Linked DNA regions of Saccharomyces cerevisiae S288C. Each later gene encodes a partner of the first gene's protein in a complex. Each region holds a gene or a part of one and is shown on either strand. Other genes may lie near its edges.

What was found. The genes of interacting proteins can lie anywhere in the genome.
Region 2: MED4 (region 1) and SOH1 share a complex: the UniProt entries of both Saccharomyces cerevisiae proteins name them as parts of the mediator complex.

The regions. Positions count from the first base shown.
Region 1 is NC_001147.6:652,776-660,101, forward strand, and holds MED4 (Med4p), read left to right. Parts: upstream 1-5,971; coding exon 5,972-6,826; downstream 6,827-7,326. Other genes in the region: sphinganine kinase LCB4, read right to left, coding at 1-1,109; YRM1 (Yrm1p), read left to right, coding at 1,435-3,795; DCS2 (5'-(N(7)-methyl 5'-triphosphoguanosine)-(mRNA) diphosphatase), read left to right, coding at 4,489-5,550; ALE1 (lysophospholipid acyltransferase), read right to left, coding at 7,040-7,326. UniProt on the Saccharomyces cerevisiae protein: Component of the Mediator complex, a coactivator involved in the regulated transcription of nearly all RNA polymerase II-dependent genes.
Region 2 is NC_001139.9:269,456-272,500, forward strand, and holds SOH1 (mediator complex subunit SOH1), read right to left. Parts: upstream 1,321-3,045; coding exon 937-1,320; downstream 1-936. Other genes in the region: U2-type spliceosomal complex subunit CWC23, read right to left, coding at 1-689; SCS3 (Scs3p), read left to right, coding at 1,542-2,684. UniProt on the Saccharomyces cerevisiae protein: Component of the Mediator complex, a coactivator involved in the regulated transcription of nearly all RNA polymerase II-dependent genes.

The DNA of each region.
Region 1 (7,326 bases):
CTTGGCCATTCGTTCATATAAGAAGGTTGGGAACAACACATTAAGTCTATTCTTGTTTCAATGGATTTGACAAGGCACAGAGCGGCGTACGATGGGTTATTTGTCCAATGACATGAAATGCTCATAGCATTTCCTGAACCGCAAGGTAGCTGAGTTACGGCTAGTTTATTGAACGCATCCACTCTGTCGGGTCTTCTATAAAGCCCATTAATTACTTCGTATGGAATACCATCACCCGAGGCACATGCAATGGTATCGTATTTGCTGATATCTAAATCTTTGGCAATATCGATGGCGTGACGGGCATATTTTGTGTATGCAATTTCTATTTTGCAGCCACTTTCCACTAGTATTGGCCTTGCTTTTGTCAGGAATAAATTTTTAGCAGTACCTTTACCACCGTGGGGATTAATAATGACTAATATCGATCTGTTTCTCTTGGAATTTTCATAACTTTTTTCCAGGATTTCTTCCACAGTACCAGAAGAAATGTTCTCCTCTCCGGTATTTGCTCTCGATTTCCTAGAAACGTGATCTATTAACAAGGTTAATTTTTGTGGTATAACATCATGGCCCTTGGGTACAGCAAAAGTTAACTCAATTAACTGTTGATTATCTTTTATCCCTAAAGATGGTGAGTTATCCTGTGAATCATCGGGAGACACCTTCACAGTGTTCGTTTTTGTATCCCACTTGTCTTTTTTGGGAAATGACTGTGATTCGCTTACAGGAGCCTTATCATTGCTCAAACTATGATTCTCAACGTCGTCATTTTCAGACGAAGAACTCAGATTTTCCGTTTGAAAAGGATTCGAAGAAATTTTGCCATTATTGAAGCCTTTCTGACCGACATTCACATATTTTGCGTTCAAAATTCTGTTGAACGGAATGGTAGTATTAAGAGGCAACAGTTCCAGGGAATCATCCTCATCAAAAGAACCTCCATCAGAGCTCAAAGTTCCATCATCCAGACAGGACAAGCAGCTCAACAAGGATAAAGAATCTCCGCTTCTGAGTTGACCATGCTTATTGAACATATGGTGTGATTGCGATTTGATCAATACACCTTCATCGGTCAAGATAGCCCTAAGTTTTTTCTGCACCACCATTATCTATAGTAGATTCTTCGCGTACTTTTCGCTGCTAGACTTTTGTGTTCTTGATAACCTCCAGGATCAGTACGTTAGACAAGGGAAAGTATCAGATGGGTTAAACACGAATTTTCACCTTCTTGTATGCCTTTCTTCCGTTAAATCATCTTTTTGCTTCAAGACCCTTGCAGCACGTTTTTTTCAGGCTCGGCAGTAGGGTGACACCCATGGTTTACAAGGCGATAAAATGACAAATGCCAGGTGGTATTGTAATAATAACGGCAAGAGTATAGAAAGTCAGAGGGGAAAGCACATTGAATGGTCCTGGTAAAGGGAGTTGTTAATGAGTAAGCGGGGTAGTTTACAGGATAGAGCTTCCCCATCGGAGGAAACTGTAAAGAAGGCGCAGAAGAGACGGAAACCAATAAAGTCATGCGCTTTTTGTAGGAAAAGGAAATTACGTTGCGACCAGCAGAAGCCAATGTGCTCAACTTGTAAGACGAGGGGTCGTTCTGGTTGCCTGTATACAGAGAAATTCACCCACAAAATAGAAACAAAAGAGTTATTTGGCAGTACTCCGAACATTGAACTGTTGAAAAGGATTGAGGATTTAGAGAAAAGACTAGATGACAAAGAGTTGACGGAGAAGGATGTAGCGCTTAGTACGAGCCCATTTAGGAACCCTTACGCTAATTTTTACTATTTACAATGTAAAGGCTCGGGAAGAAGAATAGTATATGGTCCTACATCTTTGAGAACGCATCTCTCAAACGATGATAATCGGTTTGTAAACACGTATAATCAGCTCTGGTCCAAAGTGAAAATCGAGAGAAACAGATGGAAGGCTAGGCATAAATGGACAATGAAGCCAGAAACTCAACTCCTAGAGGGACCGCCGTTAGAAAAGACAGGCTCTGACATCTTGCAACAGGTTTGTAACGTTTTGCCATCTTTTGAACAATCGTCAAAGATTATAACAGACTTTTTCAATACTGAACTGGAAACTAATGAAGTTAGTGAAGTATTAGATAAAACCAAAATAATAAACGATTTCACTTCCTCGTTTCTTCCAAGTGACGAACTGTTACCCAACGGTGAAAGGCGGATTGAAAAGTTATTACCATCGACAAAGAAAAACTATTATAAGATTGGAGTTATTTTGATGATACTGTGTATTCGCCATTTCTACAAAAATACTCCGGAAGAGATAGAGAAATTTCTCATCATGCTGACGGGACTGTCAACAGCTAAAGTATATTTCATTGAACGCGCTCAATTTCTCTTATTGAAATACTATCATCGAGAACTAATTTGGGCGTGTGGAGACGATTCGCATATGATTAGTCTAGTTGACTTATTATGCAGCACGGCAATTATGCTGGGTTTACACTTGAATATAAGAGAAATATACAAAAATCAAGAAAATATTGTGGGGAGTATGGAAAGTTTGGAAAATTTGTGGGTTTGGATTATATTATCAGATTTCAATGTTTCTTTAAATATTGGGAGATGTTTGGCGATTAACTCATCCTATTTTCAAGTCGATGAATGCGAGAATGGTGAGAGGTTGCCTAAAAATACAAACAATTATTCATCGACGGTTTTTTTCGATCAGTCAAATTCCTGCATGGGCAAGCTTAAAAGGTTTTTAAGATTAGCTCGACCAATGCTAGATCAAATTTATGATAGAAGCGCATTTCCAGACTTAGCCGAAAATTGTAAAAAACTAAGAAACTTTGTAGAGACTGAATTCCACCCAATATCATATTACACTGACAGTGAGTTAATATCTAAAGTTCCTTTGTGCGAGATTAAAGTGCTTGCGCAGGTTTTGAATTTGTTGTTGACGTTTTATTCCTTGAGGTATTTGATTTACAAGGAAAAAAGCGTTGTTTTAGAGAACAACATCCTGCAAACCATTTTGGTCTCTTTTTCCCTTGTCATCAATACGACCATACTGTGTTTTAACCTAGATGAGAAGCATTTTCCTGAGTTTTTTGATCATAATTGCGTTCATTTACCGCCATTTATGGCCTTGTCTTTAGTATACACAAATTTCCTTTTTCCTAGGGCCTCTACTGGCTTTTGTGCGTTTTTGTATCATAAGTTAACTCTTTTTGAGAAGGGCTATTATCTATCATCCAACATCAAAGATCAAGAAGTCACAGATTGGGATTTGTCAACCTTGAATATCCCGTTGGATAAAGCTATGAACTTACTTACTGCTTTCAAAATACATTCAGATATATTTGCTAAATGGTCTAATGATAACAACAAGCAGTTAAGAATTATTATGGCTCGCTCTTATACATTTGTTATCAACATCGCCCTGGAAAGCATATATAGAGCTGTTTTGGAAAAAGTAATCAAATATAGAACCGAGGTCGAAAACACATGGTTACAACAACTCCAAGACGAATTGAATGGGTCCTATTCGCTCACTGACAATGTAAATACTCCAATCGATCCCAGTTTAAGTGACCTGGGCGTCACAAGCGCCAGTCCATTGGCGGGAAATTCTCCAGGATTACCCCCGGAGGAAGTGCGAAATAACAGCGAAAACGCTTCGCATAACAATGAAACTGGGCCAATTGAGACTGAACTGGCACAGACAATATCCAACGAATTTTGGACGGCGTACAACCTTGGCTGGGAGGAACTAATGAGTCAGCCAGATTATAAATATTTATTTGATACGCAGTAGAGGAGAAGTTCTTTTACAAAAAAACATGCTTGCGACAGCAGCTAGATAGAAAACTTGCATATTGTAATGGAAGACAGTCGAGAGCAAGCCATTGGCTTGGACTTGCGCTTGGACCTATCTTTCGGACCAACTATTTAATGATTAGTAAGACAAAAATGACATTTAAGCATCTATAAAATAAGAAAAATAAAAAAATGAAGGGAAAAAGCTAAACACTAACTTCTTGACCAAACAAACAAGGAAAAGCCAGTAATTGCGTGAACAAAAGGCACCTGCAATTGTTCTGATGGATGTACTTTGTCCAACCTATTCTGCAAGAAAAAGAAATCAACTCCAAAGAAGTATGGAGCTTACTGGCACTCTAGCCTCCAAAAGCTGTTAAAGTGTTCATTCGATTGTCAAAAATCTTCCCCATAATAATCACCCACCTCAACAAAATACTTCCACTTAATTATTGATCGATTAGAGCTAGCGTCAGTGATTATATGCTAGTCCGAAAGGACAGCCCCATGACAGCGGCCGCGCAGACGCCTAGGGGGGAAATAAGGGGTGACAATACCAATGAGTATAAAGGCAGAAAGAAGAGAAACAGAAGCACGGGGGTTTCGTTTGGTCTTCAAATATATGTTAGGTCGGTACCTTTTCATTGCAAAATTGAAAAGATTTGAGCGTGTAAAAGTAAAAAAATACATGATGGGTTCCCAAGATTTAGCTAGTTTAATTGGGAGGTTTAAATACGTCAGGGTGTTAGATTCGAACCCTCATACAAAGGTAATCTCACTACTAGGCAGCATAGATGGGAAGGATGCCGTGTTAACTGCTGAAAAGACGCATTTCATATTTGATGAAACGGTACGTAGACCCTCTCAAAGTGGCCGTAGCACTCCGATTTTCTTTCATCGTGAAATAGACGAGTACTCCTTTTTAAACGGTATTACTGATCTGAAGGAATTAACTTCGAATGACATCTACTACTGGGGGTTGTCTGTTTTGAAGCAGCATATTTTGCATAACCCAACTGCGAAGGTTAACTTAATTTGGCCCGCCTCGCAGTTCCACATCAAGGGATACGACCAGCAGGATTTACATGTCGTCAGAGAAACTCCTGATATGTATAGAAACATAGTTGTGCCCTTTATCCAAGAGATGTGTACCAGCGAAAGAATGAAATGGGTAAACAACATTCTTTACGAGGGCGCCGAGGATGATAGAGTTGTTTATAAGGAATACAGTAGCAGGAATAAAGAGGATGGATTCGTCATCTTGCCCGATATGAAGTGGGACGGAATCAACATTGATTCGTTATACCTGGTCGCGATCGTGTACAGGGACGACATCAAATCTTTGAGAGATTTGAACCCAAACCATAGAGATTGGTTAATTAGACTCAATAAGAAGATTAAGACCATCATCCCCCAGCACTATGACTATAATGTAAACCCGGACGAGCTAAGAGTTTTCATTCATTATCAACCTTCATATTACCATTTTCATGTCCATATAGTGAATATAAGGCATCCAGGAGTAGGCGAGGAGAGAGGCTCCGGAATGACAATACTGTTGGAAGATGTTATAGAAGCGTTGGGTTTCTTAGGTCCTGAAGGTTATATGAAGAAGACGCTTACTTATGTCATTGGTGAAAATCATGATTTATGGAAAAAGGGCTTTAAGGAAGAAGTTGAAAAGCAACTGAAGCATGATGGTATCGCAACCAGTCCTGAAAAAGGCTCTGGGTTCAATACCAATTTGGGTTGAAGGTAGAAGAGCAGCACTATTTTTTCATGTGCTGAACTTCAGGAAGCGCCGGCTTATATAAATGTCTTATTTAAATGTTTGTGTATACATCTCAATGGATTTTGAATTTTAACATAGAATGCGAATGCACAGTAACATAGTACATTCAGTTGCTATTTTCCGTATAAGCTTTCTTTCCCTTATAGCATACATAGCCTTTGACGTATTGCCAGCCTTTTCAAAGAAATGCGAAAAAATAGTGCATTACCACCTACGTAAGGTAGGCTGGAGAAAAAGATAAACTTTTGCATTCTCTGCTCACCATACCGCGAAGGAAAGTAGTTATAACGTGTCCCGTTTTCAACAAGGTTTTCTGGTATATTGTTAACGGTGGAGAAAGCATCTAGTATCAATTACTTCCAGAGTACACACAACGAATGTTATGTCTGTCCAAGATACTAAAGCGGTAGAGTTTTCTATGGGTCACATCAGATCATCCTCTGTATCCCTGGTAGCAGAGGCTACTTCAAACACGAATAGTGAAGACAAATTATCTAAGGTCCAACTCTACGAAGATTTGTGCCGGTACGAGGATACATTGAGTAAGTTGGTGGAATCTGTAGATCGTTTCAAACCAAACCTTGATATTGCCAAGGATTTGATCAGAACTGATGAGGCCTTGTTTGAAAACGTCAAACTGTTAGCTGAATATGACAATATCTACCGCAACTTACAGAAGATTGACAAAGACTCTGAAGAACTAGATTCTAAAACCAGGAAGATATTGGAAATTCTAAATGAATGTCATGACGAGTTAAAAGCACTACCGATGCTTGAACAAGTAGAGTTCGAGAAAAACACAATTTTACAGCAAAGATCGAAAATCAATTCGACAGAGTTGTTGGATTATGCCACCAAACTCTCCAAGTTTACCAAAATACCACCAACGTTCGACAAGGGAGCTGTGGGACCCAACAATTTTATATGGCCCGCAGAGGATGCCCTACGAAGAGGAATGCTTGCTATGGCCTCATTACATAGTAAAGAGCTAACTAGAATACCCGGTGAAGAAGTAGAAGAAACAGAAGTACCGACCGTACCGCCATCTCAAAGTGAAGAACAAAAAGGGCAGATGGCCAAGAAAGAAGGTACACCAAAGACAGACTCGTTTATATTTGATGGTACTGCTAAAGAAGTTGGTGATGAGGCAGACAATACCAAAGATAAAGAAAAGGAAGAAAATAATGATGATGCCCTAGATCTTGATCTTGATCTGTTTGATCCGGACGACTTCTAGTTGCAGTGTCTTGAATCTCTTCCTCGTTAGGAATGAAGAAAAAAAAAAGTTAGACAATAATTCGTGTAGGTAAAAGCGTATATAAAATTACATATATAATTTACTGCAATATGTCAAAGTGTATGAAAAACATTTGAAAGTAAGTTCCCACAGGAACTGGAAAATAAGACAACAAGACTGTGACTTCCACACGCATCTGTCGTTTTTGGCCATCTACTCTTCCTTTTTTGAAATAGGCTTTGGTGAGTAACCACTAAAACTCATTTTTCTCACACGTTCACCTGATCCACTTGCAGCGTTAGAAAATTCCTGCTTGAATCTTTCAAAAGCTTTAGAAAGGTTTTCCTCTTCTATTTCAAGACCATTTTTATTTCTCCATTCTTTGTAATCTTTGCAGAAATCTTCCCAATCTTCCTTAGCATTGTCCCACTTTTCTAACTCAATTGGTGGAATACCTAAGTTCATTTCTTCTTCTTCTGCTGTCTTTCCCTTTTCATGTT
Region 2 (3,045 bases), on another chromosome or scaffold:
GCTGTGATGGGAGTATCGAATACAGTATATATGATGATTGAATCATCCTTCGAGTAGTTGTTTCTTTCAGAGAAGTAGATGTCGTAGATTTCATTAGCACTTAGCGTGATGAATACTTGATTGCGCAAATGAGATAAGCAGTTTGATTTATTATTTGATTGCAGGAAGTTGTCAAGGACAATTCTCAAAGTAGAGCAATCGTAATACGGATGTTGCGAAGCATTTTCTTGGTCTTGTGTGTTGAGATGTTTCCAGTCACCATAGGGCAAGTTGAAATGTTTTAGTTTCCTGAGTAGCTCGCCGTGGCGTTGGATTTGCAATAAATCAGGATGTGGTGTGGTGGTGGGTATCGTACTCGATTCAGATTCTTCCAGCTTTTGTATAAGTTTATTTCTTTCAATGTCGTTTGTTTTCCGTAGGAACTCAATTAACCAGCGGTCGTAATGGGGTCTCACGTCTGCATTGGTGAGGATATTAGTTGCGGTCGATAATAAGTGGAATTTGTGTATAATTGATGGATTGTCCGGGTGTTTGTCAGGATGATACTTCAGGGCAAGGGTCCTGTATTTGCGTTTAATTTGGGGCAAATCATCGTAGATGGTATGGACGTCCAGGGGGGTCGGTAATTCTAATACATCATATAGGTTCAAACGTTGATTTATTACGTCTTCCAATTCGTGTCCTGGCATAGTCGTGGCGAGGCTTGTAGTACGGCGATGGACTTGCTTTTTGATTTTGCTTTCATCTTCTAATGTCTTGCGAGATAATATGCAAGGAAAACAAAGGAAAGAAAATACAAAGTAATGCGGCTTGCATATATATATACATATATATATGTATATATGTGATATATATATGTGTGTGTGTGTATATATATTCATGAGTGTATAAAATAGATATATGAATGCGTGCGAATGTAGTTATAATTAGGTGTGTTCAGTTGGCCCATCTTTCTACCATTTCATTCATCCATTGCGGGCCTTGTAATTGAATGATCTTGGGCAGCTCGTCTAGCCCTTCCAGCAGGCCATCTTCATTAACGATCGCCGACTCCATGAACCCGTTCAACAGCTTTAAAATGAAGAGACAGTTTGGATACACAATGCATTGCGAATAAGGGGGGTTGCACCAGTACTCCAGGTATTTCAAGTAGTTTTTGAAGTTAGGAGACTTCCAGATCTGCTGTTGAGTGAGTAAGTACGTTACGTATTGGATGTTTGCCAGTGACTGGATAAATTCGAGCTCCACTTCGAACCTCGTGGGGAGAGGATTTTGATCCGAGGAAGGTGTCGCTGGTGCGTTTCCATTAGTGCTTGACATCCTGGGTGGAGCTTGGGGGAACTTTGCCGTCTTATGAGTGCTATAAGTTTTGGCTTACTTTGCCTCATTTTTCCTGCATTTCTTTTTCTTTTTCATCCTTTAAGAACACGTTAGCGGGAAAACCGTGAAATAAAATACAAAACGAACTGTTCGAAAAAAGCCAAAGGGGAAACGCCTAAAACTCCACTGAAACCAGCTATAAAGCACGGCATATTACAACAATGTCTAGCAAATGGTTTAATGCTATACACCTACTGGTGTGCCCGTTGACGGTACTGGTAGGATATCTCATGAACGCGTATGGCTACGGTGCGGCGCTGCAAGCAACCCTGAATAAGGATGGTCTGGTAAATGCTATGTTGGTAAAGAAAGGGTGGTTTTGGACTTCCTTGGTCGGATGGTGGTGTATTATACGCTACCGTGCGGTGCCGGGGGCAACCGGCAGAGACCGAAGACACATTGTCCAGTCATTCAAAAGGTATGCCATACTGACAGTGTGGTGGTACGTATTCACGCAAGGTATATGGTTTGGCGTAGGCCCCATCATGGACTTGGTATTCGTATATACGGGTGGCCATTGTCACTATGACGTCTTCGATGATGCAGGTCACGTGAACGAAGACTTCCAGGGTTCTGTCACCCGGACTAATCGCGCGTTGGCGCTCATTCACAATGTCCTCACTTTGCACGGACACCACCAAGAACACCGTCAGCAACAACTCTGGGACCGCTCCATAGGGTCGATCCAGGGCGCCCTGCAGGCGACGCAACCGAAAACCCCAAAAAACGTAACGGCCAGCGCTGCCGCTGCCATCAATACTTTTATTCATGACCAGATGCACAGGTGGCAAGGTCCGTTAACCACCTCGGCACAGTGCAGACGTTTTGGAGGCCATTGGGCTGGAGGACACGATCCATCCGGGCACGTGTTCTTGGCCACCTTGATGTGCATGTTTCTTCTAGGTGAGCTACGTGTGTTTGGGCGTCGTGCACTGGCTCACTTGTACGCGCAGAAATGGCAGCTTGTACGATTGGTGACCCGCCTTTTCGACACTGGACCGCTATGGACGTGGCGGCGGTGTGGCGGCGGCTCAATGACCTGTGGCGCCCGTTTGTGGCGTGCGATAGTCGAGCCGCCTGTCACGTGCGCGGCCGCCCTGCTCCGTTTGACGCGATGCATAGCATGCGACCACCCAGTAATCATACTGCTGACGCTATTGGTCACGTGGTTATGGCAGCTGCTGTTGACTGCGGTGGCGTCCCGTTTCCACACCGTACGTGAGCACATGTCTGGATTGCTAGCTGCGTACATAGTGACAGGCCTTGTCTACGCTCGCGACGCAGCCGCGCTACGTCCAGTATGACTCAGGAAAAGTTGGCGATAGACCACGAGCGACTGAAAAAATAACAGCGACTTTTCTCCCGGTAGCGGGCCGTCGTTTAGTCATTCTATCCCTCGGATTATAGACTGTGAATATTGCATATGCAACTTTGACTCAAATTTTTCCAAAATTTGATATATATATATATATATATATGTTTGTATGTATATATATATATACGTATATATATCATATATACGAAAAGTAGAAAAAAAAAGGTGATATTTCGCTCGTGGAAAAGCTAATGCCACAGCTTGTGTTTCGTGTAGTTTGCCTTGCTCCCCTTGATTGAAATAGTCTCCCTAAACTAAAGTTATCAGCAAACAGAACCACCACAGTTACT